2 linked regions of the Kluyveromyces lactis genome follow. The protein of the gene in region 1 interacts with the protein of each later gene in a pairwise test. Links are inferred from orthologs where the notes say so. Each region holds a gene or a part of one and is shown on either strand. Other genes may lie near its edges. The genes, in order: ABP1 and KLLA0_E08405g.

What was found.
Region 2: the proteins of ABP1 (region 1) and KLLA0_E08405g interact in binary tests that used the Saccharomyces cerevisiae proteins (3 or more experiments, as listed by UniProt). The link is inferred for Kluyveromyces lactis from reciprocal best matches to the Saccharomyces cerevisiae genes ABP1 and PRK1.

Annotation. Positions count from the first base shown.
Region 1 is NC_006042.1:933,013-948,182, reverse strand, and holds ABP1 (Abp1p), read left to right. Parts: upstream 1-1,951; coding exon 1,952-3,682; downstream 3,683-15,170. Other genes in the region: KLLA0_F10219g (uncharacterized protein), read right to left, coding at 1-183; KLLA0_F10198g (uncharacterized protein), read right to left, coding at 989-1,231; KLLA0_F10153g (uncharacterized protein), read right to left, coding at 3,835-4,395; YMD8 (Ymd8p), read left to right, coding at 4,791-6,101; KLLA0_F10109g (C2H2-type zinc finger protein), read left to right, coding at 7,117-8,988; MCM DNA helicase complex subunit MCM6, read left to right, coding at 9,554-12,565; GPH1 (glycogen phosphorylase), read left to right, coding at 13,489-15,170. UniProt on the Saccharomyces cerevisiae protein: Regulates ARP2/3 complex-mediated actin assembly. Recruits ARP2/3 complex to sides of preexisting actin filaments, which may promote nucleation or stabilization of filament branches. Binds to actin filaments, but not actin monomers.
Region 2 is NC_006041.1:751,897-767,630, reverse strand, and holds KLLA0_E08405g (Ark/Prk/Nak family serine/threonine-protein kinase), read left to right. Parts: upstream 1-9,092; coding exon 9,093-11,426; downstream 11,427-15,734. Other genes in the region: AVT7 (Avt7p), read left to right, coding at 1-753; glucose-induced degradation complex subunit FYV10, read left to right, coding at 1,227-2,633; BMT5 (25S rRNA (uracil2634-N3)-methyltransferase), read right to left, coding at 2,658-3,629; phosphatidylinositol N-acetylglucosaminyltransferase GPI15, read right to left, coding at 3,992-4,447; transcription factor TFIIIB subunit BDP1, read right to left, coding at 4,674-6,389; KLLA0_E08449g (uncharacterized protein), read right to left, coding at 6,645-7,913; histone deacetylase HDA1, read right to left, coding at 11,469-13,583; rRNA (cytosine-C5-)-methyltransferase RCM1, read left to right, coding at 14,267-15,734. UniProt on the Saccharomyces cerevisiae protein: Protein kinase involved in the regulation of actin cytoskeleton organization and endocytosis. Phosphorylates PAN1 which disrupts the interaction between PAN1 and END3, and between PAN1 and SLA1. Phosphorylates SCD5.

The sequences.
Region 1 (15,170 bases):
TCCTTTCTGATATTTTTCATCCTCTGTTATGCACTGGATGTGTTTCTTGTAAGAGATACCGTCATCAAATGTCTGGTTACAATCAATACAAGTATAATAAGCTTGTGGGCAACGGTAGTAATGCTTTTCGGTGTTCTTTTTAGGAACAGTATCGTTACACACTTCACAATTAAATGTTACCATCTTCTTTGAGCAGTTTATGTTTGGGTACGGTATGCGTTCAACTAGGATATTCCGATGCTAGAATATAAGTCATTTATCTGTATAATCATTCTATATTATCTCATCTCATCTCATCTCATCACCGAAGATTCTTTTCACTTTTTAACATCAGCAGAAAAAGAAAAGTCCACAGCGTGTATGAATTTAAACTTATTTATGGGGAGCACATTAACAATGTAAGGAAATATGTGTAATTCCATGAAAAGTCCCAATAATTTGAATGTTGAAAGCTCTTTGAACACGGTTAAGATTCTAAATTAGTTACGAATGCTTGCAAATGTTTTGGCTAACACCCACAATTTAGGAAGGTATCGCATAGACATAGTCACGTGATACAAATTCCACACATGTATTTTCTTATGAAACGACACTCAAATGGGCAACTGACCGTCAGTTAGCGACAATTGATTGTCCTTATACATAGCTTCGTTGTATAGTTTGTTTGAAAAGCCTTAATCCGTCCTCCCCCCCATTTTCTGTGATATTTTCTTGCCGAAATAGGATTCTAATGCTCCACTCAATATGCAACTTCGGTGATAACTGCTAAGTGACAAGTTTCGGACATTTTTATTTACATCTTGCGTCATAAAGGCCAAAGGAACGGGGAAAAGCCAATTTAACAGCTTCAAAATCGGATACAAGTTCTTTTTGCAGTGGAGAAAAAGTAGTAGATGGTTTCGAATAACCAAGTTCGTCTGTAACCCCACCATCGTCATCAGCCGCGGGGGAAAAGGAACCATCACCGGTAGAAATAAATTTGTTGCCATTACATATACGCCCATAAATCGATGAAGGCTTGTATTAAATCGTATTTTGACCATATATGATATTTACTCGATCTGAATCTTGTCCTTGGGTTCGATAATTTCTTGTATAATCTCGAAGAAGGCCTATTTTTCAAATAGTGCGTCAGTGAATACAAACCTGCCGGTATCGATATTATCGATTTCGGAGCTTGTCTACCAGTACCTTTCTCAGAGTTGCGATGGCATAGTTTCCTAACATGCATATATGAGAATCATGAACGTGGAAAGTCGTTCCGGGATCAGTTATTGTGGTAAGGCCCCCATCATTATAACCAATGTTTAACTCAACAGTGATTTCAGCATAAGGTCCGTTTCGTAGTGGAAAATAAGCTGAAATCTGGCCGGAGAATAATTAATAGAACATCGAGCAATTTGAAATTCTCACCGACAGTTAATTTCCTGTTCCAACAGAAACATCATCACAGCTTTATTCCAAAAAATAGTTATTGATTCCTTGATAAGAAAACTCTTCATAAAGCTAATAACAGTTTTGCAATATCGTTCTCTACTCTGACCGCTGTTCATGGTACTAAATATTACCCGGTTTCATGTCAACCGCTGTTTCTCTAAATGAAATCTGCACGAATTTCTCGAAACTAAAACCACAGTTCATATTCCGGGTAACCTATGAAATAAAATCTTGACAATTGTCTCCTATTCGCCATGAATGCAATATTTGAACTAGGTTAAATTATTAAACATGAATCAATCCACTGCTGTTTGGTGGAATGATTGTACCATCCTACCTTTATATATATTTAAACAAATATAGAAATATCTTAAGACAAGAATTCTGCAAAGTCAATTGAATTAGTGTGTGTTTTTGCCAATTTACCAGACAAATTTGAGGTGCATTACGTTCCTTTCTTGTTGTTATTGATCTTAAGTTATTATAGGGTTATCAGTCTGGCATAGCAATTACGATGGCATTTGAACCAATTGACACTACTACACACTCGCGTGCCATTGAGGCCGAGTACCTGAAGGTTGTGAAGGGTGATCCAGATACTACTTGGTTGATCATCTCGCCAAATTCTAAGAAACAATACGAACCTGAACTAGTCGGTACTTCTTTCAGCGAGTTTTTGCAAAGTTTCGATGATACCAAGGTTCAATACGGTTTAGCTCGTGTTTCTCCACCAGGTTCTGATGTTCAGAAGTTGATTTTAATTGGTTGGTGTCCAGATTCCGCTCCATTGAAAACCAGAGCTTCATTTGCTCAGAATTTCGGTGTGATCTCTAATCAAGTGTTTAAGACCTACCATGTTCAGGTTACCGCCAGAGATGAGGATGACTTAGATGAATCTGAATTGTTAATGAAAATCAGCAACTCCGCTGGTGCCCGTTATTCAATTCAACAACAAACACCGGCCTCCAAGAAGCCAATTTCCTCTGCTGCCAAGACAGCCAAGAAACCAGTCAGTGTTTCATCCAGACAATCTGAGCAAAAGGAACCTACACCATCGTTCCCATCAAGAAGATCCGTTTCTCCCCCAAAGACTGAGAAGAGCAGAGGTAAGAAGGACGATGAATGGGGTGAACCAGAGTTGGAAGAACGTGATTTCGACAAGAAACCACTAGAACCAAATTCTTCTTCCTGGAAACCAATTGGTAAAGTTGATCTACAAAAAGTGATTGCTGAAGAAAACAGTAAAGAAGATCCCCGTCTAGTTGTTTCGGGGCCTAATTACGACAAAAAGATTGATCCTCAATCTGAGATTGCTAAATTAAAGCAAGAATCCAAGCTAAAGAGGGATGCAGAATACAACAAAGTCTTGGGACCAAAGAGTTCTTCCTCAGCTCAATCATCAGGAAACGATAGCGACGATAAGGTGATCAAGGGTTTCAAGAATGAAAAGTCACCAGCTCAACTTTGGGCTGAAAAGAAGGGACAAAAGAAACCATCTAATTTAGAGAACAAGACCCAAAGAGAAGAGTTCTCAGATTCTAACGAAGAAGAAGAAGCTGAAGAAGAGATTGAAGAGGTCAGATCAAAATTTGAATCAATTAAAACTAAGGAAATTCCTATCATAAAACCAAGTGACTCTAGCAGATCTAGACCTCAAGCTTCTAAGATCAACTCATCTGACAGCTGGACCAAGAAACAGAACAAGTTTGGCCAACCACTACCAGGTCTGCATGATCAAAAGAAGGAACAAAACGATGACTGGAGTAGTGATGAGGAGGAACAAGAAGAAGAGGAAGAAACTCCAGCTCCTTCGTTGCCTGTGAGAAGAAATGTTCCTCCCCCACCCGAAAGCGATGAGGAGGAAGAGGAGGAGCAAGAGGAAGAGGAAGAGGAAGAGGAAGAGGAAGAGGAAGAAGCTCCTTCTCTACCAACTAGGAGAAATGTTCCACCCCCACCGGAAAGTGACGAGGACGAAGAAGATGATGATGAAAGAGCATTTTCTAAGTCTCAAAATACTCCTCCATCTCCAGCACCAAGAGCATCCAAACCTGGAAAGAAAGAATCCGGACCATCAGCTATTGCTGAATATGATTACGAAGCCGGCGAAGATAATGAATTGACTTTTGAAGAAAATGAAAGAATCATTAATATTCAATTTGTCGATGATGATTGGTGGTTGGGTGAACTTGAATCATCAGGTGAAAAGGGTCTATTCCCAAGTAATTACGTCAACTTAGAGGAATGATCCAATAAATTACCACTACTCTAACTTTATCATTGTTAATAAATGATGATGTTATAAGTTGGTGGGACTTTGAAATGAATATATCATGTATACTTTACAAGTAAATAATGTTAAAGAAATAAAGTACAAAAGTAAACTAAACAAAAGTCTACTTATTTGCCTTTTACAATTTCAAAGTTCATATCTACTACGCTCACTTCTTCTCCAGCATCGTCATCATAATCATACCATTCGTTTTCGTCGTCTTCAAACTGAAACTCCATTTCCTTCTTCGAAACTAGTTCAGCTACAAAAATAGTGTCAGCAGGTTCAAATTTAGTTACTTCACATCCTCTGCAGTCAAGCTCGAGCCAAACAGCTTTTTCCACAGGAACAGAACGTAAGCCAACCTTCTTTCTGTCCTTTTTACCCTGTTCAATCAATTCGAAATTAGATTCTTCATCTAAATTATATAAGTCTTCCTTAGTCCTGGTCAAGTTTATTGAACACTCATTGCCACAAAATTTACATTTCATCACGAACGAGGCATTTCCTTTACTTCCAGGCATGTCATGAGATTCAAACCTATTGATTCTAATAGGGGAATCGTGCTCCTCTCTACAGCTGGTACATACTAATTTGAAGGTATATTCAGCTGGTGATTGTTCTGTATCTTTTGGGAAAATCCTTCTGATATTCTCTGACAAGGTGGCACAAGATGTCAAAAACAACATTATTTTGGGAGCCAAATTGGTACGACGATTACTTTGATATATAACGTTCCGGCTTCCGGTTCATAAAAACCCTGTAAGTTATCTCAATAGGGTCCTAGTCTCATTTGTTAGTGGTTCATTAATTTTTTTTTTTTTTTTTTTCACCAGCCTCATCCATAGGAAAGCATCTAAGAAGAAAATAGGTTTCGTTCAACATGAAAAAGATGCGTAACTAGGTTTGTGCCTACCACATGTAGAGAATGAAATAACATAGAACCTCGAAGTCAATTGATTTGTTTAATGGAAGTTCTGGGAGATCTGTGTGAATCATTGCTACTGTAGGGAGACGAGATATTAATACAAAATTAGAAGAAGCCTGGCGTAGTACTTTTGTCAATATAAAATAGCTAAAAACAATGAAGATGGATAGAGACACAGTGAGGATCTTCACTTTGATCATGGGGATGTATATTGCAGCCATTCTTCTTACCATGTACAACAAATGGATGTTCGATCCTAATAGAAGTTTGCATATTCCATACCCATTGTTGGTGACAGGCTTGCACCAAACACAGTTATGGGGTATGGCATATCTGTATCTCCGGTGGAAAGGTCAACTAACCCCCGAAAACTTGAACAAAGGTGATTGGAAGTACTATGCAAAGTACATTATCCCAACTGCTATAGCAACTGCTGGTGACATTGGTTTAGGCAACATTTCCTTCAAATACGTTCCATTCACTGTTTATACAATTGTCAAATCATCTACTATTGCATTCGTTCTTTTCTTTGGCTGTCTATTCAAGGTGGAAGTACCATCTTGGAGACTATTCATTATAGTGACATTGATGTTTTGTGGTGTTGTGATGATGGGTTTAAAACCAATAAACTCAGATAGCTCTCAGACTCATGGTGAAATTCAGGAAACCTTTGGTGTGATACTTGTGGTGATAAGTTGTGCCCTAGGAGGGTTCAGATGGGTCTACGTTCAAGTTATTCTCAACCACAAGAAGAACACCATTGTCTTGTCACCCAACGATGGTGATGAGTTGATGGCTGCTGACAAACCTGCTACTAAGAAAAACCCGGTCATCACTCTATATCAATTAGCTTTACCAATGACTATACTTCTATTTTCCACTTCATTCATAGTGGAACGTCCGATTCCTGATGTACTGCATTCTGAATTGATGACTTGGGAAGGTCATTCGAAACTCGCGGCTCTATTACGTGGATTAGCGCTTCTCACACTCCCTAGCTGCCTTGTTTTCATATTAACAATGTGTGAGTTTGGTATATTACAATTGGCTCCTGTATTAACTTTAAGTGTCACCGGGATCATCAAAGAACTATTCACCGTTTTCTTAGGCATGCTGGTATTCAATGAAAGGCTAGGATTTTACAACTGGTTAGGCATGATTGTTGTACTAATCGACGTATGCTATTACAACTACTACAGATACATGCAAAGAAAAAGACTACAAGAAGTACAACAGGACTACCAACTAGTAGAAACCGATGAACCCCCATGTACATCTACGCATGATGGTGATATTTGGTCAAATTTACAAGACAACATCAGTGGAGACTCGGCGACTGTATGGGAATTAGGGTCCTTGAATTCCAGAAAATCAATCGAATCTAACCTACCAGAGCTAACATCAGGTACCATTACCGAACCCACTAAAAACAAAAGTGACGACACCGTAATGGGTAATTCCAAATAAGTGAATCTGCATCATTCACCATATTTGCATTCTATCCTTTATCGATTTCATCTCACACTCTTTTTTTTCTCTCCTGCATGAAGTATAAACTAAACACTCCATTGCATATGCATTTGAATAATAACCATATCAAATCCCGAATTCACAAAGTCAGAATTCAGCTTCCTATAAGCTTCAGACAGCTTTACTCGAAATGTAAACTATATTAAACATGTACACTACTCAATTTACACGTTTTAGATGTATTCTAATGCCAGCTTCGGACTTTAGAATCAAATGCTTAAACTGCCATATATGAATGAGATCACGTGCGTTGCATCCGAAAGACTGTAAACTAGGATTCCCTGAGCAGACAGTTATTTCATTACTCTTATAGAGTGCAAATGATTAATATATTACCCGATCAACATGAGCACATCACTTAACACGAAGAACACAACTAACTACGTATTCAAGATAAGTATCTCCGTATTTTCTCCGGCCCGTTTAGCAGCATGTCTGGATTAATACTGACAGAAATTTCAGTTTTTCGAAAGAGAAATCTCATGAAAATGAAAAAAAAAAGCTGCGACCATGGCAATCAGAGGGAAAAAATAGAATGATGGATAAGGAAAATTGATAATGAAAGTTGAAGATTGAAAATCAATAATTGGAGATTTTGGCCTTTTGAGTGCAAGTTAGTTGCGATTAGTGGTGCTTTCTAATTATTCTTTTTATAACATCAACTAGGAATATTGCATATATCCATAAATTACTTACTTTGACTGTTATCTGAGAAGTGTAACCAACCCGAAGGATTTTCTTTTGTTTTTTTTTTTTGTTTGGTCTTAATACCATTGATCATTTATCACAAACGAAGGTGACAATAGTTGACTCAGATTGTTAAAACAATAAAGCTCAAGGAAACTGAAGTCTAAGAGTTCAACACTTTTGATTTTGAAATTTCCAACTTGAGCTTATACCATCTTATTGTTATTGAAAGCGTTTATTTGACTTTGCATTTGATTAATCAGCCATGCCTTCCGTGCAATTGCTAGATACGGATAAGTCAATTCTCAAACGACTCTCTTGGCGTTTGACTAATTGGTTCAATGCCATCGCCAGTCACGTCGTAGGTGTTTCTTTGGACTGTAAGACATTACAGGATGATTCAAGTATGGACGTGAGAAACAAGGGCAATAAGTCGGATTTTGAAACGGAAGATGAAGATGAAGGTGAAGATGGGAAACTTAATGAAAATGGAAAGAACTCGCAAGAAGATACTGACAACAGGCGCATTTCTCTTTTCCCATCCTCGCATAATGTGGACAGACAGTTAGAATATAATGCCTCTGTCATACCATGTTCTTTGAACATCAATGGATTACAAAGCCCAATGTCCGTTGCAAGGACTCCCGAAGGTCAAATGGAATGGAAGATGACGATAGACACTGACCCTGTTACCTCTAAGAGAGCTTTCGCACAGAATACATCTCCAAAGGTAAATGAGGATCGTGAAACGAAAACTACTCAGGATATTACCCCTAAGACTGACGCTACTCCAGAGACAGGAGAGACGTCTGCGAATGATGATTCGAAGACATCATTGAATGATCATGTGGATGTTATCAAGTCAGAAGATAGTTCTGTAGGTTCAACACCAGAAGTTTCTAGTGGTATTGTTCCTGTCTCATCAACCGACAGTGAGTCTCAGGTGCCCACTGATAAGTCAGATGAGAAGAAGGAAACAGATATGAAATTTGTGTGTCATTATTGTGATGCAGAATTCAAAATGAGAGGGTATTTAACTCGCCACATCAAGAAACATGCCATAGAAAAGGCATATCATTGTCCCTTCTGGGATGCATCTCTACCTTCTGAGAAACGTTGTCACTCGACAGGTGGCTTCTCCAGAAGAGATTCTTATAAGACCCATTTGAGATCAAGGCATTTCATTTATCCTGATAATGTTAAGAATGTGGACCGTGTGAACTCTCATGGACATTGCGGCCGTTGTAAAAAACACTTTGATTCGACAAATGAATGGATTGAACATCATATTGAAAATCGTGAATGTGAAGCTATTTTGCCAACTTTCAAGGGTAACCTGAAGAAGAGTAAAAAGTGTGGGAAGTTGAAAATGATCATGACCTCTGATGGACAGTCACGTTTCATTTCCAACCAAGCAACTATCAGCGAAGCCAAGGTGCCTATCAGCAACTTCATGCCAGAAAATAGGAAGAAGTTATCGAGTGAGTATTCTAAACCGGCTTCTGCCTCCCCGCCCATCAAACAAACCATATCTGACCTGGCTTTGGATAACACTTTTGCTCTGGCTTCAATACCACTAAACTACAATGGAAATATCAATGGAAATATCAATGAACATAACGACAATCAGAATTACGGTCATTTCGAAAACCAAGTGTATGGCAACGGTGTCCCATCTCTCGCTCCCTCGAACTCTGTCCCCTTCACAGGACAACCACAACTAATACCTCATTCGGGATCTCAAAATACAGCTACTCATTTACGCAAATGTACACAACCATTCGATGAATTCTCCTCATTGAACAAATCACCAGTTGAAGATGCAGCTTTGGACACCGTACGGTCTATCTCATCCCAATCCTCCCATGAACATACTGTTCTCCATAAAGAAATGAACTTCATATCTACCGATCAAAAGTCACAAATAAATCCTGATTGGGAAGTACTCCCCCTCGACATCGAGCAAGCAGGCATGTCTATGGAAGAAGAAGTGAAATTCACGAATAACTCGAATGAACCTAAGATTAATACTACTTTACAAAGACAAATGAATGAGTACGCTCTGGGTGAGAGGCACTTCAGAGAAACTCAGCAATTCATGAACTTTTTCAATTATACTTACAATTACCAAGAATGATTGAATCTTTTTCCATTCGGCTTTTCAGTGGACCTATGTCCACATTAACATTTTCGGTTTATTTTATCTGGTTACATTTTTTTCTTTTCTTTCGATTTTAGATTCATTTTCACTTCACCATTAATGCAACTGACTGTCAGGGGGGCTATTTTATCCCTGGCCAGCTTTCTAAAATCCTCGCGTCCATATACTTATATCGCTTAAATAAGATGAATTCTTACCTACGTATCATTAATTTTTATTATCAATTCACCGATGTTTTATCTTCTCCCTATCGAATCAAAAAGAAAAAATTCCATTAAATTGAACTTTGCTGCATTGGTTATCGATATGTTATGGTCGATAGTCAATGGTTTTCCTCGTGTTATACCTCAGTTAACTAATTTTGGATACTTGCAATACCTCTTTAGGAAAAGTAATATTGAATCGCCTTAACTCAGAAATTAAAAAAATGATTTTACATGTTGAAACACTTAAAACATGATCTTCAATGTGAAGGGCATCCAGGTTGAACGGCTCATCCAAAACCGGACATAGTTGGAGCAAGCTGAAAAAATCAGCAACAATGTCGGCACCATCAAGTCCTTTTCAACATGGTCAGCAATCATCCCAGCCTCCCTCTAGTGTAGGTGCTTATGATAGTTCACAATTCGATGATCAGTCGTTAGGAAACAGAACTCCCCAGTTTCCATCTTCTTCCAGAGGAGTGTCAGATGGAAATAGACATTTCGGTACTGATGACACTAGGCAAGGCATTAATTCAGAATCACAAATAGAGGCTATGGAAAATGATTCACAAGAAATTACTCCATTAGCCGGGATCAGGCAGAAAAACTTGAATGCCATCAAAAAGGTTGATGATAAAACTGGTGAAACTGTAAGAGAGGCATTCGAACATTTCTTGTCAAATTTCACCGCCCTCAATGATGAAACAGGTGAGATGGAGAAGGTTTATAGAGTCCAAATTGAATATATGAGATGGTACGAATTGAATACCATATACGTTGACTATAAACATTTGGCCGAGGTGGAAGACGGAGCTTTAGCGGTTGCTATTTTACAACAGTATTACAGATTTTTGCCATTCCTTTTATCTGGGCTAAGAAATGTGGTGAAGAAGTACGCTCCTGGATTATTATTAACATCTGACTCTGTACTTCCTTCTCAATCTCAAGAGAATTCTCAGGACCGCTCTTCGCAAAGAATAGATTCATCTTTGCCAACTTCGCAGGCTGCCACCGCAGGAGGCACTGCCCCATCTACCATTGCCACTAATCCAGATCAGGTTGAACGTGTTTTGCAAATCAGTTTCCTGAATCTCCCAACTGTCCATAGAATCAGAGATATTAGGGCTAATAAGATTGGTTCTTTAATGGCTATTTCAGGCACAGTCACGAGAACTTCGGAAATTAGACCAGAATTATACAAAGCCAGTTTTACATGCGAATTGTGTCGAGCTGTTATTGACAATGTGGAACAAGTTTTCAAGTACACTGAACCAACCTCTTGTCCAAATCCAACATGTGAGAACCAATCTTTCTGGTCATTAAACGTGAACAGGTCCAAATTCTTGGATTGGCAAAAGGTAAGAATTCAAGAAAATTCCAATGAAATTCCATCCGGTTCTATGCCAAGAACCTTAGATATTATTCTTCGTGGTGACTGTGTCGAAAGAGCTAAACCAGGTGATAGATGTAAATTTATTGGTACTGAAATTGTCGTTCCAGACGTTAGTCAACTTGGTTTGCCTGGTGTTAAAGCAAGTTCGACTCCAGATTCTAGAGGTATCTCACGGACAACGGAAGGATTGAACTCAGGTATTTCTGGGCTCAAATCATTAGGTGTTAGAGATTTAACTTACAAAATATCGTTTTTGGCATGCCATGTTGAAAATGTTGGTACCAGTTTCAATGGTAGTAGGATTAATGAGGAGGACGCCGATAAGACATCCAAATTTGATTATATTAACTTGAGAAACTATCAAAACTATGAAATGGCGGCAGAAACTGATCAAGAAATTTTCCTAACAAGGCTTGATTCTGACGAAATTAATGAATTAAAAGAGATGGTGAAAGATGAGAATATTTATGACAAACTGGTGAAATCGATTGCACCAGCAGTTTTCGGGCATGAAACCATTAAGAAAGGTATCCTTTTACAAATGCTTAGCGGTGTTCATAAAACTACTGTAGAAGGCATTAAATTGAGAGGTGACATTAATATTTGTATCGTTGGTGATCCGTCCACCTCAAAATCTCAATTCCTAAAATACGTCTGTAACTTCTCTCCAAGAGCCGTTTATACTTCCGGTAAAGCATCTTCAGCGGCTGGTTTGACTGCAGCTGTGGTGAAAGATGAAGAAGGTGGTGATTTCACTATTGAAGCTGGTGCGTTAATGTTGGCAGATAATGGTGTTTGTTGTATCGACGAATTTGACAAGATGGATATCGCAGATCAAGTTGCTATTCATGAAGCCATGGAACAGCAAACCATTTCGATTGCCAAAGCTGGTATTCATGCAACATTAAATGCCAGAACTTCAATTTTGGCTGCCGCTAATCCCGTCGGCGGTAGGTACAATAGGAAACTGACTTTAAGATCTAATTTGAACATGTCTGCACCAATTATGTCCAGATTCGATTTATTCTTTGTCATTCTTGATGATTGCAATGAGAAGATCGATACTGAGCTAGCTTCCCACATCGTAGACTTGCACATGAAGAGGGACTCTGCTATTAATCCACCATTCTCAGCAGAACAATTGAGTCGTTATATCAACTATGCCAAGACTTTCAAGCCGGTAATGACTAAAGAAGCTCGTGACTACCTAGTCAAAAGATATACAGAACTAAGGAAAGACGATGCGCAGGGGTACAGTAAATCTTCGTACCGTATAACTGTCAGACAACTGGAATCATTAATCAGATTAAGTGAAGCTATTGCTCGTGCTAATTGCGTGGATGAAATTGTTCCGAGCTTTGTCGCTGAGGCGTACGATTTGTTGAGACAGAGTATCATCCGTGTTGATGTTGATGACGTTGAAATTGAAGATGACGATAACTCCCCAGAAGAAAGTACGGAGGGTGAGGGCACAATACCTGCCACACAACACTTCGGCGAAACACTTGATACACAATCTCAGTCACCTTCTCAACCACTGAACGCCGACTCCGAAACGGGGGGTGGTCCTGACGTAGAGTCTCATGACAACGCTCATCACACAACACATAAAGTCGCAATATCATATGATAAATACGTGGAAATGATGAATCTAATTGTACGGAAAGTGGTTGACAGAGAAAAGAATGAAGAACCTGAAATGACAAAAACTGAGATAGTAGATTGGTATTTACAACAGAAAGAAAACGACATCAACACCGAAGCAGAATATTGGCAAGAAAGGAAATTGGCATTCAAAGTCATCAAAAGATTGGTAAAGGACAGGGTCTTGATGCAAATACATGGTCAAAACGACGATCTATCTGCCGATGTCGAATCCTCAAATGCCAAGACAGTGTATGTGATACATCCGAACTGTAGTGTTCTAGATGAAATCACCCCTAACCCACCTCAATGAAAACTTACTAACTAGACTAATTCAACTAAATTGACCATTTGCACTATCTTTGAAATTTGTAACCATAAATAGATATTTCACTTAATTCACATTTACATCTCTACTTTCACATTCACTTTCACATCTGTGCCTTGCTTGAATTCTCAAGAGAACGCCGATCACGTTGCAAACTACGCTAATTGTATAAGAGAAACCAGTTCACCTTTTGACGAGGAATGTCACTCTTCGTCACGTTGTAACCATAAGCAATTATCCCGTCGCCCCTTAAGCTTTGTAATTAACGTACAAAACTACATTTTCTGAAAGCGTGGGGAAACAATAGAGAACATATTGCATTAAGAGGCCGGAATAAAAGGTTTAGTACGGAGATTAACATGTGCATAGAGGATTTTCGTTCTAACTTTTAAACGATGGAACATAGATCAAGTAACATAGTAATTGGACCTCATAACTTGACAACAGGGATAAACTATATTACTTGATATCACTTGTCGCACATGGATTCAACAATCGGTCTCTGATAGATTAAGGGTTGCGTCTTTGTCTGTATTCGAAAACGAATTAAATGTAGTTATAGGTAAATAGTTAGTTATATCTAGAGAAATACTCGTACATCCATAGTCAGGCCATCCACCAAAATAGTTTCTTTTCAGTTTTTTTTGTTTTTCCGCTTTGCATTTAAATGCCAATTGAACCATTGAAAAGGGATGTCTTAAAGGAAATGAAAGAAAGGGGAGCCTTAACCACCTTGAATGAAGAATTGTGAAAGTTTCAGATACAATTGTTACAATTGTTCAAGGCCAACCTATCAAATATAATAGCAGTTAATTGATTGACTATTTTAACTTGAAAGGAAGCTATATATATTTTTAAGGGCCTTGCAAGCGGTTTTTTAGACTAAGAATAAGAAAAGATAAGCCAAGATGGGTTCCGGTACTGCTAGAAGACCTAGCTTGAGCACTTCCACATCCAATGACATGATGGTTGACGAGCCTCATGGTGTGCCTCGTCTTTCCCGTCGTTTGACTGGGTTTTTGCCTCAGGAAATTAAGAGTATTAATACTATGATTCCTTTGCAGAGTAGAGAAATTTGGAAAAAACATGGGGTTAAGAAGTTTGAAACCCCAGACGAATTTCAGTCCAAATTCATTCAACACGTTGAAACGACATTGGCTCGTTCTTTGTACAATTGTGATGATTTAGCTGCATATCAAGCCACTTCTCAAAGTGTCCGTGACAACTTGGTCATTGACTGGAACAAAAGTCAGCAGAGACAAACAGCGCGTGGCTCGAAGAGGGTTTACTACTTGTCGTTGGAATTTTTAATGGGTAGAGCCTTGGATAACGCTTTGATTAACTCACAAGATGGTTCTGAGGAAAGTGGTGTTGAGAAAAGAGAAAAAATTAAGGGCGCCATTGATGAGTTGGGTTTCAAGCTAGAAGATTTGTTGGAGCAAGAACCGGATGCTGCTCTTGGTAATGGTGGTCTAGGTCGTCTTGCTGCATGCTTCATTGACTCAATGGCAACAGGAGACTACCCGGCATGGGGTTATGGTTTGCGTTACCAGTACGGTATCTTTGCTCAAAAGATTATCGATGGTTACCAAGTGGAAACCCCAGATTATTGGTTAAACTTTGCCAATCCATGGGAAATTGAGAGAAGTGAAATTCAAGTGCCAATTAACTTCTACGGTTACGTTGATAGGTCAGATAACAATGGGGATGGCTCTACATTGTGTGCAAGTAAATGGATTGGAGGTGAAAGAGTCATTGCTGTTCCATATGACATGCCAATTCCTGGGTTCAAGACCGAAAATGTTAACAACTTGAGAATGTGGACTGCTAGACCAACCACTGAATTCGATTTTGCCAAGTTTAACAGTGGTGATTACAAGAATTCTGTTGAACAACAGCAACGTGCTGAATCCATCACTGCTGTTTTGTACCCTAACGATAACTTCCAAGAGGGTAAGGAATTGAGATTGAAACAGCAATATTTCTGGTGTGCCGCATCTTTGCATGACATTGTTAGAAGATTTAAGAAGGCTAAACACTCCTGGGAAGATTTTCCAAATCAAGTTGCAATCCAATTGAACGACACTCATCCTACATTGGCAATTGTTGAATTGCAAAGAATCCTTGTCGATTTGGAACATTTGGATTGGCACAAAGCATGGGACATTGTTACCAAAACCTTTGCATACACTAACCATACAGTCATGCAAGAAGCGTTGGAAAAATGGCCTATCGGTCTATTCGGACATTTGTTACCAAGACACTTGGAAATCATCTACGATATCAATTGGTTCTTTTTGAAACACGTCGAAAGCAAGTTCCCAAGGGACGTTGATCTTTTGAGTAGAGTTTCCATTATCGAGGAAGCCTCTCAGGAAAGACAAATCAGAATGGCTTTCTTAGCCATTGTTGGTTCTCATAAGGTTAATGGTGTTGCTGAATTACACTCAGAATTGATTAAGACTACTATCTTCCAAGATTTCGTCAAGATTTATGGGCCAGGTAAATTCACCAACGTTACCAACGGTATCACACCAAGAAGATGGTTGAAACAAGCTAATCCAAAACTTGGTGAATTGATCAGTAAGGC
Region 2 (15,734 bases), on another chromosome or scaffold:
TCAATGACAAATATCAAAAAGATCATAAACAATTCCATCGTAGTATCATCCGCCTGTTTCATAATCTTGGGGCTGTTCGGATATTTGACTTTCGGAAAAGAAACTCTGGGAAATGTCATACTAAACTATGATGCTGATAAGCTCTCTGTCAGATTTGCTAGGTTCAATCTTGGCCTGATGGTTGTTTTGTCATTTCCCTTGTTGTTCCATCCTTGCCGTATATCGGCGAACAATATGGTCCATTGGTTACAATTGAACTATGGAACAAAGTCTGAAATAGATGAAACGATAGGGCCTATTACCCTGGAAATTGAGGATGATACTGATAGAGAATACCTCGAACAAGAGCTAGGCTCCTCCCATGACACTTCATTTGTCCACACGTACCAATCACTACCGAGGGCAACCGACGATGATAATGATGATCAGGTTGATGAACGCACTGAAGCAGTCCCATTCCCTGATTCCAGATTTTTGACTGTCACTTTCTTCTTACTTGCTGTACTATACGTTCTAGCGCTAAACGTTGAGTCATTCGCTTTAGTTCTTGCACTTGTTGGTGCAACTGGTTCTACAGCCATTTCATTCACGTTGCCAGGATTATTTGGGTGGAAGTTAATTGGTACTGAATCTTTGATGAACGGTGAGAGAATCGGAGGATGGGATAAAGCTCACAGATATGGAAGTCTGGCATTAGTCTGGTACGGTCTTATTATTATGGTAAGTTGTGTGTATATCACACTTTTTGTATGACCAGTTCAGCATCTCGCAGTTAAATCATTCAATGGTTCCAATCATTCTTTCTTGGCTAGATTATGAGCAAGGAGCTTTCTAAATAAAATTATTAAAATGTAATATATTCTGTCCTCGTCTGTTTGATGCTTTCTGGGTCTTAAACTTTAGGCGCAACACTTAGCCATTGGTATTTATCTTTTCACTAACAGTGTATAAACAAACGTCTGTAATGTTTCGCCTGATATTCCTACCCTCCAGTTGGTACTGCATCAACTCGACTTTAGCAATTTTTTTTTTCCAGCGTACCGGTTGATGTATTTCATTCATGGTAACTATATCTTTGTATTTCTGCATCAAATTGCATAAGAAAATTGAAAGGGGTTTTCACAATATACCTTAATCTTTAGGGATGAACCAAATAACTGACAAACTGGATCAATCAGTGTAATACTGGTGACGGTAAATCTACCAAAAAGCCTTTAGATGTCATTATGACTTCGTTAAACGAACCTAATGTCGATTTTCACCTAAAATTAAACCAGCAGCAGTTTAACATTCCTTCCGAATTGTTAAAGCGAAACTGGGATAAATTCAACAACCTATATACAAGCTATTCAGTAGAGCTACAGGGACAATTCGCTACTTTGAACACTTTACTTGAAGATCCAAATAAGGATGAGCAATCAATAGAAAAATTGAATGATATAATCAACACAGTGAACATTTTGCAGAAGAGACTATCGCAACTACATGATAATGAGTTAACAATTTTAGAAAGGATTGAGAAGAGAGTAGAATACTTCAAGCAGTTTGAAAGATTCAAATATGATTCTAACACTGACAAGCTTCTAAAATGGTACAGGTCATACACGGATTTGTTAATTGCCGATTATTTGGTAAGGCATGGTTCGAATTCTATAGATCATAAAAACAAGATTGCATCAAACTCTGGCATAGAGTTTATAAAGACTAGGGGATTAGAGGATTTGATTGATTACGAAGTTCTCATAGAAGCTAATCAGATATCTATGGAACTTATAGAAAATAAAAACCTTCGTCCTCTATTAGAGTGGATTGAAAATAACTCTGCGCACTTGACAGAAAAAGGTTCGCATTTACAGTTCCAAGCGTTATTGCAGGAGTACATTGAATTAGTACGATGTTCCGATTATAAAGCAGCAATCAGGTGCTTCCAAACACACCTTGCCCATTTCGCAAATATATATCCCAAAGAACTAAAACTGGCAGCGGGTATTCTTGCTTTCTTCAAAAGCTGCCTCAACAATGGTCGTGACGACGAAGTAACAAACGAACAAAAGTTGTTTCATGCCTATTTTAGAAAACAAATGTATCGACCACATCCGTTGTCATCAATTTCTTCTAGTAACGTTGTTCACAATGCTGAATTATGTCGATATGGTCCATTATTGGACCACGAGAGATGGGAAAGTTTGAATAAAATGTTCCTACATGAATTTTACTCACTCTACAAAATATCTTACCACGATCCACTATTAATATATATATCCTTAGGAATCTCTTCGTTAAAAACAAAGGATTGTGGTCACACCATTTCCGCGCAACTAATCCCTCATGAAAATCCGGAAGTAAATGAATACATTAAATCTAACGTTGTCAATACAGATTGTCCCGTATGCAATCATGACATATTCCCTCTATCTGAAAACTTACCATTTGCCCATCATATCCAATCGAGTTTATTTGAAAATCCAGTAATGTTGCCAAATGGCAATATTTACGACTCTGAAAAGCTAATATCATTATCTCGAAAACTAAACAAAATGGGGTACACTAAACTTAAAGAAAACCAAGTGATGGACCCTATTGATAAATCAATATATGCTACAACAGACTTTATCAAAATGTATCCTACTTAGATATAATAGAGAATATGTATTTTCTTATTCATCATCGCTGTCGTCTTTCAAAGGTTTTTTGGAATGTTTACGTTTATTGAACATTTCGAAAACGTACATTCTGGCATCTCTTTCCTCAGCTGGTTTGGTAGTATCCATTTCACTATTGGTACGCTTGTGATGATACCCTGGAAACTTGGACCAGTCGAATTTCCCTGATCTATCCACTTTCCAACCGTTATCTTTCGCTAGTATTTTTATTTGCCATGAATCGTATGGTTCGCCACTAAATAGAGAAAGAACCACTTTTCCATAACCTTCATCATCAACTCGAGTTTCATTATTTAGTGAGTATCCACCCATAGAAATGCTTGAGTTTAACATAATCTGGCTACTGTTTACGAGTCTGAACAGCTGCTTACAACTATCAAAGTATTTGTACACCAATTGTTGATGTTCGTGAATATTTCTGCCTTGATCTTTTATTCCACGACCTGTATGTGGAAAATTGAATAAGATGAAATCCAGTTTCTTTGTAGTCCATGAATTCCCCACTACTTTCTGCCATGGAGTCTTTTTCGTGATCTTCAAAGATTTTTTTAAGTTTGTTGCATCGATCCCGAACAGCATGACGACTTCATTCTCTTTAAGGAAATTGTAGTTTTCTTCGAAGCTATGTGGATACTTTAGCTTTAACTCTTTGATTCCACTGTCAAAACTGGTTATAATAAGATTTTCTGGTTGAATGTATTGCTGTTCAATAATGCTCTTCGCGAATGAAAAATCACCCTCACCAACCAAGAACAGAGTTGAATCTGAAGAAAATGGTAAAAATCCTGACCCTCTCACTTGTTGTTGTTCCTTTTGTCTTAAAGGTTGTTTAGTCGGCTTACCCTTAGCTGCCACATGTTTCTCTCGTTGCTGAATCTTTTTGGCCCTTTCTTCTCTAGCTTGATGATTTAACAAAGCACCTTTAAGTCCTTTGGATGATATCTTCCCCTTCAATTTCCGTGCCATTTTAGTTTGCCAGCAAAAAATTTGATAAAGTTAGTTGATAGAGAACTTAGTGAAACTGTTGACAGAGACTATTTCCACCTGTCTGCCTTGTATACTTAGAGACTTCATTCACCTCATCTCTTCGAAAATCTGTTTATGGAATTATTATGTTGATGTTTTCTTTTGAAATCACTATCTACAAAAAGGTTTGCATGGATTTTACTGTAAACTGGCACTAAATCTTGCAGTCTAGGTAAGGTTCTCTGATTTTAACAGTCAATGTAATTGGTTAGTATGGTATTTTCCAGCAAAAAGTCGGAATGTTGCCACTAGTTGATAGTTGCATCTCACAGATGAATTACTACTATAAATGATGGTTATTATTAAATCACGTGACATACCTCAAATAGTACCTGTAGCTTCTTCTGGTTCTTGACCAACACTGCAAGATAGTATATGACTTGTAATCCTCTGAAGGCTTCGTTGATGAAAATGTCTTCTATCTCATCCTGAGGGATGAATTTGATACTTGTGAATAATGCATAATTCCAATCCCTGGGGAACAACAAAAGCCCTCCCGAACATGATATTTGAATGCCCTGGTTGGCAATAGACTGTACTGAATCTATAATTGGTACTCTAATGAAAAGGAGGAGACAAATTGGATTCACATATTTTAGAGCCGGCCATGTATCTGCGTATGATAGTCTGATAATTGATAATATAACATAGAGAAAGATAATAGATTGTTGTCTTGAGATGATACGGCTAACTGATCTGTTTGTCGAGACAAATTTAATAGCAACATTATTATTATGCTCTATTGTGGTGACAGTCATACTTGTCGTACCAAGTAAAAGCCAGTCAGAGGTTACTTCTCTTAATTAATCACTACCTTTAATCATGCAAAGGGTTTTTTGAATAAACTTTCGTGTTTTTCGTCTTGAATTTTAAGAAAATGACAACATGTTAGAGTCTGCACAACTCCATGAATATGAATTCAGGTTGAAAGAGTCCTTTCTTAAGACAGATCAAATATTTTAGAGATACATACTTAATATTATACTAAGTTTGAGCTTCAATAGCTGCTTCCTCAGCTCTCTTCTTTTTGAGGTCATCGATAGATCCAAGAACGATTTCCGATTTTCTGTATCCTTTGAGTTGATCGTACCTACCTCCATGTTTACCTTTTTGTGATCTTTCATGCTCTTTAACAGTTTGTTGCTTGATGTCTTGCTCTCTAGCATTTTGACGTTCTACTTCAATTTGCTTTAGATGCTCTTCATGTTCCACTTGTAGTTGATCTAAGCGCTTGTTGAACTCAGTAACCGTGCCGATATTTTTTCTTGTTTCTTTGCAATACTGTTCAAAGTTTGGCGGAAGCTTAGATCTCAATGCAAGTTCTATCATGACAGGATGCTTTTTTTCTTCGTTCACAAATTTTGATTTGATTTGCCGCCTTGACCTATAAGGAAACAGTTGAGATATTAGATTGAAATCTGTCCCCCACATTGATAACGCCTGATAAAACTTGATCATTTCTTCAATAGTCCATGGATCTGTAAACTGCTGACGACCGTACGTAGCAGAATTGTATAAATTTTCGAATGGATTGTTCTGAATTTTTTCTTTAGATGAATTTTCAAGAGACGCGTTCTTATGTCTGTCGACAACCATAGATTCCTCATCAACAACCATAGATCCATCTGCGGCCATCTTCAATTGAATACCTTGATGGGGTTTCTCATCTGGCACTTCCGTATCAAAAAGATCCTGGGCGGCTTTCTTTCTTTCCTCTTTCAATTGTTTTTCTTCTTCCGTTACTAGTTCATTCAAGGACTTGAACTCTTTTCTAGCCATTTCTCGTAGTTCCCTGCGTTTTCTTCTCCTTTCAATCTTTAGCTTGGCAGCTTCCTTAGCCCTGCTAAAATTCTCAGATATTTCACCTATGGGAAGCGTTGGTTTACATAGGTCCGCCATAGTAAAGTTTTCTTCGTCTATCAAGTATTTGGATGAATCTTTGTCCGCTATTTTCTTTGGAATCATCTTCAAATTGGTAATGGTGTATTTCTGATAAAGATCATCAGTTCTTTGGAAGATATCGTCGCAGTTTTCAGAGTCACCAGCTGGTTTTGCAGTTAATGAATCGTCGTCTGGACTACTCATCCGTGATACTATACTAATCCTTTGAACTTTACCCGGTCCTTTTCCGGTTGAGGATCTTGATGACATTCGTCTCCGCTTAATTGCTTGCAGTGAAGAATCATTCTCCGAATTAACTGTTAAACTCTTCTTTCTCAGTGACCCTGTGGATATACTGGAGAGCCTTCTGCTTCTTTCTGGTACATTTCCCGTATTCAAGGAACCAGGCCCCATGAAACCAGACTTGAAAGTAGGTTTAGTTCCAGAGAGCGAGTCTAGTCTACTAGACCTACGGCGGTTGGTAGCACTTGATACTGTGACAACCGGTATCTGAGTGCTGGTTCTTGATGGGTTCAAATTCTTGACTAAAGTTGTTTGACTTAGTGGATCGTCCTCGTCAACAGTTTCGTTAATTTTGGATTCTTCATCACTTCTTTTTGGCTCCGTATTATCTGTACTAGACTCATTCAGTCCGTCCTCGTTATCGGCTTCATTTTCATGGGAATCTTCAGCAGTAGACTTGGTTATGTCATCGGACACTGGTGGTACCACAGTTGGAGCCGGTGTGGAGTTCAGTATCCGTCTTTCTCTTAATTTAGGAACAAAGCGCTTGGCGCTTTTATTCACAACACTACTCATGGTTGTCAGCTGGGTAGTGTAGCTTCAAAGATTCTTTGTTGTATGTTAGCTACTACCTAATGAATAGTGCATTCATCAAAATATATAGCACTGTCGCCATATTAATGTTTACTATCATATTTATTACAAAATTCCATATTTTCGTCAATCAAACAAGGCACAGTGACATATATCCGGGTAATAAGTGTATATTTTAAATATGCGAAGGCATTAAATAGACTGTTCATGTAAAAGAAGATAATAGCATACACAATATTAATAAGGTTTATAACGGTGTTCTTTCTCCTTCTTGGATTTAGACTTGGATTTTTTATCACTCTTCCTATCTTTTTTCCCATGTTTATTCTTCTTGCTGTGCTTCTTCTCCTTCTTATCTTTCTTTTCTTTATGTTCATCATCACTACCAGTAGAAGTAGAATCCTGTTCAGATGTTGAGGATGATTCGTGCTGCATTGTTTCTTGTCCCATATCCATTTCAATTTCTCTGACAGAGTTTTCAAATGCTGTGAATGGTAGTGTATAATCCCAAAAGTTGTGTGGAACGTTTAAAGAGTTCGTAGTGTCCTTCCATACATTAACGTAACCATCTTCACCACAAGAGTATAGGAGGGAAGTTTGATTTTTTGGAATAAGCACATCTCTTATCACTTCATTTCCGTGTGCATCAGGTATTACCAGGGCACTAGAAACATCAACTTGTTCATTTTGGAATGGTATTATCTTGAGTTCACCTTGACTTTCATGAGTTTTTCCAGTTGCAATGAAAGATGGGTATATATCAATAACATAGTCACAACCCCACTTATCTCTTACGTCTCCAAATTCTAGTGGTTTAGGCTCTATCATTTCATCTGATTTATCGTTCAATTCGTGAATACCAAAAGTTTCCATATGCGACAAACTCCAAATCCTTTTCGGGCCAAGCCATCCACAAGAATGGATGGAAGCAAAGTTGATAACTTGATGTAGTGCATCCTCCTCATCGTCTTGAGTCAAATCATAGATGTTGACGTAACCATCAGTAGACCCACTCATCAGCAAGTTTGAGTCGCATGGATGGAATTTTATATCTGTAATGTCATCATGATGCGAGTCCACAAATGACCGCACAGGTTTAGTCCAGTTTCTTATATCATAAATATGCAATTCAGCATCGTAATCCTTTAGTTCTGTGCCACATGCTAACATATTGTGCCTTGAATCTAATGAGAAGAAGGGAGATGCTTTATCGTTTTGAAGAGACGCAACATTGTTTCGGGCTCTAATATCCCAAACTTTAACACCGTCCTCTGCTGCAGTAGCGAACACAGCACCAGTATCAAAATCGGAGTTTATAACTTTCATATCGTTGATGGAGGTTGTATGGCATTGAATACTGGATATGGTTTTCAAGTTGCCCCAATCCAATAAATGCACTGAGCCGTCACTTATCGATGTCATCAATCCATGTTGATATAGAGGTTGCAATTTCAAGCACCAGTTGTTTTCTTCAAAGTAGCGACATTTGTATTTGTTGAAGGACATTGTGGGACTTCGCACCGTGACTGGTTATAGTGCAGTAGACTTTAACAAACTAGTTTACTCGATGGGATGAGATGAATCTTTTCTACCTCTAATCAAAAATAATAGCTTTAACTACTGAAAAAGAAAGATTCATGTTCGAAGGTGGAAGGAAATGGTAAAAAGAATGGTTCCTAGCGGGATCGAACCGCTGATCCCCGCGTTATTAGCACGGTGCCTTAACCAACTGGGCCAAGGAACCAGATCTTATGGTTTTTCGTATATTTTTCCAAACTCATGGCGCATGGTGGCGAGACCGCTCAGGAACAATAATCGAGTAGCTACCAATCTAATTGACGGATAAGTAGCAATATGTTACATAGACATGCAGCTAATAACAAATATCGATTCATCTGATTCTGAAGATCCAGATCTGGTGGCACGTGACTGAAATGGTTAGATAAAAAACATCAACATCTTGACATCTCACAGGCTGAAGAGAACCATATATTCCATCACTTTTTTTTAAGCCACATTATTCCAAATTAATGTTTATTAGCATAGGAGGCCTTAGCAAAACCACAAGGCCACCGCTGTAACTATTCCCTGCTGAGAAACTTTTCTCCACAAAAAATAAGGGCACAAGTAAGCACCAGGGTCCAAGACTTGCCTTCACCTATTGTTCCTTTTTCCTTGCAGTTGTTATCACTCTTTTTAGGGACCCGCCCCTATTAACATTTTCCAATGTTGACAAAAAAATCAGGCTTGAACATTGAAAATGGAAGTCAGTTTTTTTTTCATATAAAAAATTATAGATTTGGTAAATTAAGTGCTATTCAATGAGGTTTACAGCGTTGAGCAGGGCAACAAGAAGCATAGTAGTTCCACCAAGCTACGGGGTTTTATCCTTACATTTATTTTTTTTGCATTTCATAGTTCATCCAAGTGGTGCACTTTTATCAATTGTGAGTTTTGCATTATTTTTTTTTACTTCATTCTGCCTGGACAAATTTCCATCAATTTGCTTATATACTTTTGTGCTATAGGTCACAGTACAAGAGAGCACGTAGGAAAGACGGCATTTGCAAAAGTTTTCTCGAAGGTTAACCCATTTGTGTTGGCGTTATACGCTTACTGTATTTTAACTGCTGGCTTTTCTCTTTTTCTTTGCATTCTGAATTCACATCTATATGGATCTTTAAAATGAATCAGCCGCAAATTGAGAAATACGCATCGGGTACCATATTGCCTGTTGGATCGCATCAGGTGAAGGTTTTGAAATATCTCGCGAGCGGTGGGTTCGCGCATGTATATTCCGTTGAAATTAGCCCGCCAGATCCGGTATGCCCAGATAATGTAGCATGTTTAAAGAGAGTTGTTGTTCCTGACAAAGCAAGTCTTAACACATTGAGGGCGGAAGTGGATTCAATGAAGGCTCTTAGAGGCAACAAATTCATTGTTTCGTATATCGATTCACATGCCACTAAGTCTCCGGTTAACGTAGGAATGTATGAAGTGTACTTGCTTATGGAATACTGTTCTGGCGGTGGGCTTATCGATTTCATGAATACCAGATTGCAGAATAGACTTCAAGAGTTTGAGATTCTCAATATCATGAGTCAAGTGAGTCAAGGTGTTGCTGCTATGCATGCTCTGCAACCACCATTGATCCATAGAGATATTAAGATTGAGAATGTCTTGCTCTCGAAAAATCATGAATTTAAGCTTTGTGATTTCGGATCAGTGTCTGGTGTCATTCGAGCGCCAAGAAATACAGAGGAGTTTAACTATGTCCAGTACGATATAATGAAAAATACAACGGCGCAGTACAGATGTCCAGAAATGATCGACTTATACCGTGGTTTACCGATAGACGAGAAGTCTGATATTTGGGCATTGGGTGTCTTCCTGTACAAAACATGCTATTATACTACGCCGTTCGAGAAAAATGGGGAATCTGCCATCTTAGCATCTAAATTCGAGTTCCCAGCCTATCCACGTTATTCTGATAGAGTGAAAAATTTGATAAGTGTCATGTTACGTGTAGATCCTCTGAAACGTCCGAATATTTGTCAAGTGGTAGAAGAGGTTTCACGTATTCAAGGCATTCCATGTCCAATCAAAAACTTTTATCTGTTAAGAATGATGGATAAACAGGAACAACCAAGGGTGTCGCCACCTCCTCATGTGCCACAGATGACTGTGCCGGCAACTGTGCCAACTTCTGTTTCAACTCAGCATCTGCCCCCCCAAGTTGTATCAAACGTACAGACTCCATCGAAAACTGCATCTATTCAGCACTTGCCTTATTTGCATGTGTCTAAGAGTCAACCTATGGTCACACAGCAGGATTTACTCTCACAAAAGCAACCTGCAGGAAAAACAGTTCCTCAGACGGTTTCAAACTACACAAGTTCAGATCCATTCTCCAAAATTGATAGATCTGCTCTTTTGTCTACTTCTGCTACAATGGAATCACTACCGAGGGCAATGAGAATACCACAACTAGAATATCAACAGCCTCATCTTCTGACAAGATCGCAATCAGTAGTGCCTAGAGCCTCTGTGAGTCCAGTAAGAAATGGTAGAGGTGCCATTTCAAGTATCTTGGCATCAAACAGAACATCCTTAGATAGACCAAAGTATGTGGACTCTGAAACTCAAACCAGCGATCATCCATCAGAACTGGGTCTTTCACGATCTCTGTCTAGAAAATCAGTCGCATCATCTCTGTCTTCTGCGGAATCCTTGGAAGCTACCTCAACTGGCGGTAGCTTGACTCGTAAAATAGGTTCTAAGATGAAAAAAGTTATCACCGGAGAGAAGAGGGGCTTTTCAACCATTAGAAGTGCACAAAATACCGGTGAAAGCGTAAAATCCGCATTTAACGCATTAAGAAAGGGAATTTCCTCAATGCAGTTCACTGGTGATAGCAGTTCCAGAAAATCATCTTTAGAAGCAAGAAAGTATAGAAGTACTTCAGGCAAATCCATTCCTGAAAATACTTCTTCTAACACCAAATCCCATAGGCGGTCCACCAGCTCGTTTTCCTTCGTTCCGGAAAATAATGACTATGAATTGATCGAAGATATACAAAAGGAGAAACCAAAATCATCACTGAGAAGATCCTCTTCCTTGAAAACTTCATCTTCGATCCAGAAGCGCGTTAAAGATCTAATCAATGCAGATGATATACCCAATCGCTCTTCTGCCACTGGATACGGGAAATATACTGATATTGGGAGGAAAACCGATATATCTGACCACCATAAATCCAATGCAAATCGTAAATCAAGTACAGTGATCACTCCTGTGCATGAGGCTCCTAAATCCAAACCAGCACCGCCACCCAAACCAGCTCATTTGAAGCCAAATCTTCCACCTAAGCCTAAACACCTAAAGGCAAAATCTTTCAGAACAAGCCCAGCAAAATCCGAAGTTAAAGAGCAGGATTCCGATCAAGATTCTGTGGGTAGCCCTTTCCAATCTCGAAAAGAAATGAAAGAGTTTGAAAGAAGATTTCCAAGTGCATTATAGAATACTTTTAAAATTACATATATCTTTATAATGATATTCTAATTATTCCGATTCACTCCATTCTTCGAAAGAATCCAATATGAAATCAGTTGCTTCTTCAAAACGTTCATCGAATATGTTTGTCATTCCGTCACAATCTGCCTTCAAAACTCTACCATACTTCTTTCTTAACTTCTTATTTTCGTTGGCCGTACTACCCCAACAAGAATGTGTGCTACTTGTGAATACCAAGGAATTCTTGAAATACCAATCTCCTAACGTTTCGTCAATTAATGGCACCATTACTTTAAGAGGTTTTTTGTCTAAAAATGATATTGCACATTTTACCACTGACCTGGTATCCCTATGGCCTAATAAATGGACAATGCCTCCGTAGGCATCTCCAATGCCGATAAATGCCACCTTTTGTAGATTTTGGAAGAATTTCAAGTAGTTATCCCATAAATATATCAGAATCTCTTGTGATGACGCAACACCTGGGTAGTTGGCATGTTCAAAGAGTGTTTGAGGTATATTTATGTCAATTATTCCATATCTTCTATCCATTGCCCAATTGATCATCTTCAAAGCATTGTCGACGATAATTGAACTAGAAGGATCAATAATTCCTGTCTGTGTGTCACGTTCAGACCAAATCTCTGGTGTGTCATGCACGATCACCACAAGTGTTTCAGAGTCTTGGATACCTGAGGTGCATAGCATAGTATTTGCTGGTAAATTCAAATCAAGAATTGGAAGTTGAACAAAGTTGAATTGTGATGAGAGCTGTGAAACTTGGTATTCTCTAATAGCATTTTGTAAAGGGAAATTCCTTGTGTCCAATGTTGAAGTTATAGCATCCTTGAAATTGATCCCGTCATTTCCATGTCTGTTCTTAAAGCAAGACCAATACTTTGACTGCGTTCTGATGACTGTTTCGATCATTTTTTTTGCCTCTGGAGTTGGTTGCTTTTTAGGAGCAGGCAATTCATCTGGTGGTTCTCCGACCAACACCTTACAAACACCAAGCGCCGACTTAGCTATAGAATCCAAATTGTACCCACCTTCTAAGACAACACACAAGTTTCCTTTAGCCAACGAAAGTAGCATATGGGTCATGTGACCGTAACAAGCAGGAGTAACATGGCATTGGCCGATAGTGTCACCATCGGCTGCATCAAAACCAGATGAAATAAGGACCAAATCCGGTTCAAACTCGCGACCCATTGGCATGATAACTTGTTCAAAAGCCCACATGTATTCAGCATCACCAACACCGCCTGTTGGCCACGTTATATTACAATTGAAACCTTCACCTTTCCCTTCGCCGGTTTGGTCATAGTTTCCATGGATAGTACCTGGGTAATACTTGCCTAATTGATACCTGTGAAGAGATACATATAAAACTCTATCATCGTCATAGAAGGCCTTTTGAGTTCCGTTACCATGATGGATATCCCAATCAACGATCATGATTTTACGAACACTTTCAGGATACGATTTGAGCATATTTGCAGCAGCGACGGCTACGTTACTGAACAAACAAAAACCACCAGCAATTTCAGGTTCAGCGTGATGACCAGGTGGCCTTACTACAGCTATTGAGTTTTTCACTCTTCCCTCGACGACAGCCTTACATGCTTCGATAGCACCACCGCATGAAAGTTTGGCACTAAGATACGAGTCATTATTGAAATACACGGAATCTCCACCCTCAGTCTCCTTGAGTAAACTTTCACGTTCGAGCTGTTCTGTCTGTGATATGAAATCCAAATGCTGTCTTGAATGGACTTGCAAAATTTCTTCCTCTTCAGCTTCACGTACGGGAACCTTCACCATTAGATCTCCGATCGAATCTGCACCACTCAAAGTTGGGTCCTGAATCAATCCATTCTCCGCTAGGATCTTGTAAACACGGTAGATACGGCGGGGGTCCTCTGGATGTGGATCGATGTATTCGAAGTAAGACGTGAAGATCTTAGCATGATAACGCATCCTCACATCATAACAGATCCCGGTTTTCAAAAGACTATATCTAATCTTTGGCTTCGTTGGTGGAACAATGACAGGCCGTTGAGATTCATCTTTACTGGGCAGAGTATATGCAGTACCCTCATTTTTAATTTCCTTGATGCTGGGCCTTTCCAGCGGCTCTTCAGCCGGTTTTTTACTTTCCATGTTCCGAATATATTATGGAAAGGTAACCACGATAATGTTGAATGACAGGCAATGGCAAAAGGGATACCGTAACTAGCTTTCAATGGGAAACGGTCTACTAGAAATGAATGATACAACCACAAATTACGTAACTCCAATGCACGCTTAATTCCCTAGAGCGCCTTTTTACCTTCTAATCGTGAGGAAAGGCTAAAAGTCCACTGAAAATGGCGGAAAAGCTGTGAGAGAACTCTCTTCGTTCGGATTATCTCTCGAAATTTTACTGGCCAAAAAAGTTGTTTTGTGTTCAGATACCGTCAGAATCGTTTGATTGACCTTGGTTATATGGACGTAGCTGTCTTGCACAGGATCTGGTACTCAGAAGATCCGTATGAAGATCAGCTGTTTCACATATGGTTCCATGAGCGCAGGAAATTGTTGATGTTTTAAAGTTCCAATATTTACAGAAAACCAAACTGAGGTGACAATAGAAAAGAAATTATTTTTCAACATCGGACTCTTCAAGTACTGAAAATTGAAAATGTATAATACGTATGAAGAAACATGTAACAAGAGCTCATCGCGATGAGGTATAGAATAGACGTAATATAGTTACGTGTTAGAACTGATTTTGCTGGATCTGTGGTACAAGCTATACAGCGCTATTTCATTGGATTTTCATTTTAACTTCATTGTGATTCGAGATGGAATTCTACCGTGATGCAACCTGGGTATTGGAATTCGTGGAACAGGAGCTCTCTAAAGACAAGAGAGTTGCAGGTTCGTTACAGACCTTGGTACTTACTAGTTGTAAAAGATATAAGCTGAAGACAAATCCTCGTCACATTTATGCCATTGTTAGTAGTACATGGCAGTATAGGGAATATCTAGATAAAATCATTAAGAAGAGCGGGATCTTGGAGGACGTACCGAAAAAGAAAGGGAAACCGCTGTTCAATAAGGATACCATAAGGCTCCTAGTACACGACCTTTTACTTTCAAAATCGAAGCGGATTCAGATGGGTAAGCATCCTATCAAAACTTTCATTTTGAAGCATCAGACTAGGTTAAAGGCTGAGTTGACAAAGCTCAAAGTTAAACTTAAAGTCACCAGTCTGTCGCAGTTAATCAAAACCGATGATGGAGAAGATGTTACACCGGTTCGTTGGATCAGAATTAACCCTATCCTTGTCAAGGAAAGATATGACGATGTTCTTGCTGAATTAAACAAGAAATTCCCACAAAGAGTGAACTCTTGGAAACAAATCGTTCCTGGGAGCATATATTACGATGAGTATATTCCAAACTTGTTTGGCATTCATCCAGGTGATAAGATCACTTCGCATGAGCAATATAAGAGGGGGAAAATTATCATTCAAGACAGGGCATCCTGTTTCCCCGCCCACATCCTCAATCCAAACAGTACTGACGTTGTTATCGATGCATGTGCGGCTCCCGGCAATAAAACCACACACGTTGCGGCACATATCTTTGGAGACGTTGACACCAAGGTCGATTCAGTCAAGATACATGCTTTTGAGAAGGATCCTGAGCGTGCAAAAACTTTACAGATGATGGTTGCCACCGCGGGTTGTGCTAAGGGGGTCAAGATACATGTTGGTGATTTCACAAAACTTGGTAAACCAGAACTTTTCCAGAATGTAACTGGATTCATCGTTGATCCAAGTTGTTCTGGCTCTGGTATATTTGGCCGTAAGGCAATTGATAAAGTAAACTTGAGCAAGACTGGGTCATCAAACACCGATGAAGATCAGACCTCGGTTGAACCTGTGGAGCAAGAAAAAGAATTGTTTGAAAAGGAACAAGATTTGAAGAATAGATTAGCCAAATTATCATCTTTCCAATACCAAATTGTGAAACACGCCATGTCTTTCCCATCTGCTAAGAAAATATGCTATAGTACTTGTTCTATTCATGCTGAAGAAAACGAAAGAGTTGTCATTGATTTGCTCTTAGACTCAAAGGTCAAGGAATGGGGTTGGAAAGTAAGAAAGAGAACCGGTGTAATTCCAACATGGCCTAGAAGAGGATGGACCAGTGAATTTGAAGAGGTGTTTCCGAAAGAGGAAGCAAAAGAGTTGGCAGAAGGGTGCATCAGGGCTTTACCGAAGGAAGATGGTGGCATTGGCTTTTTCGCCGTATGCTTTGAGC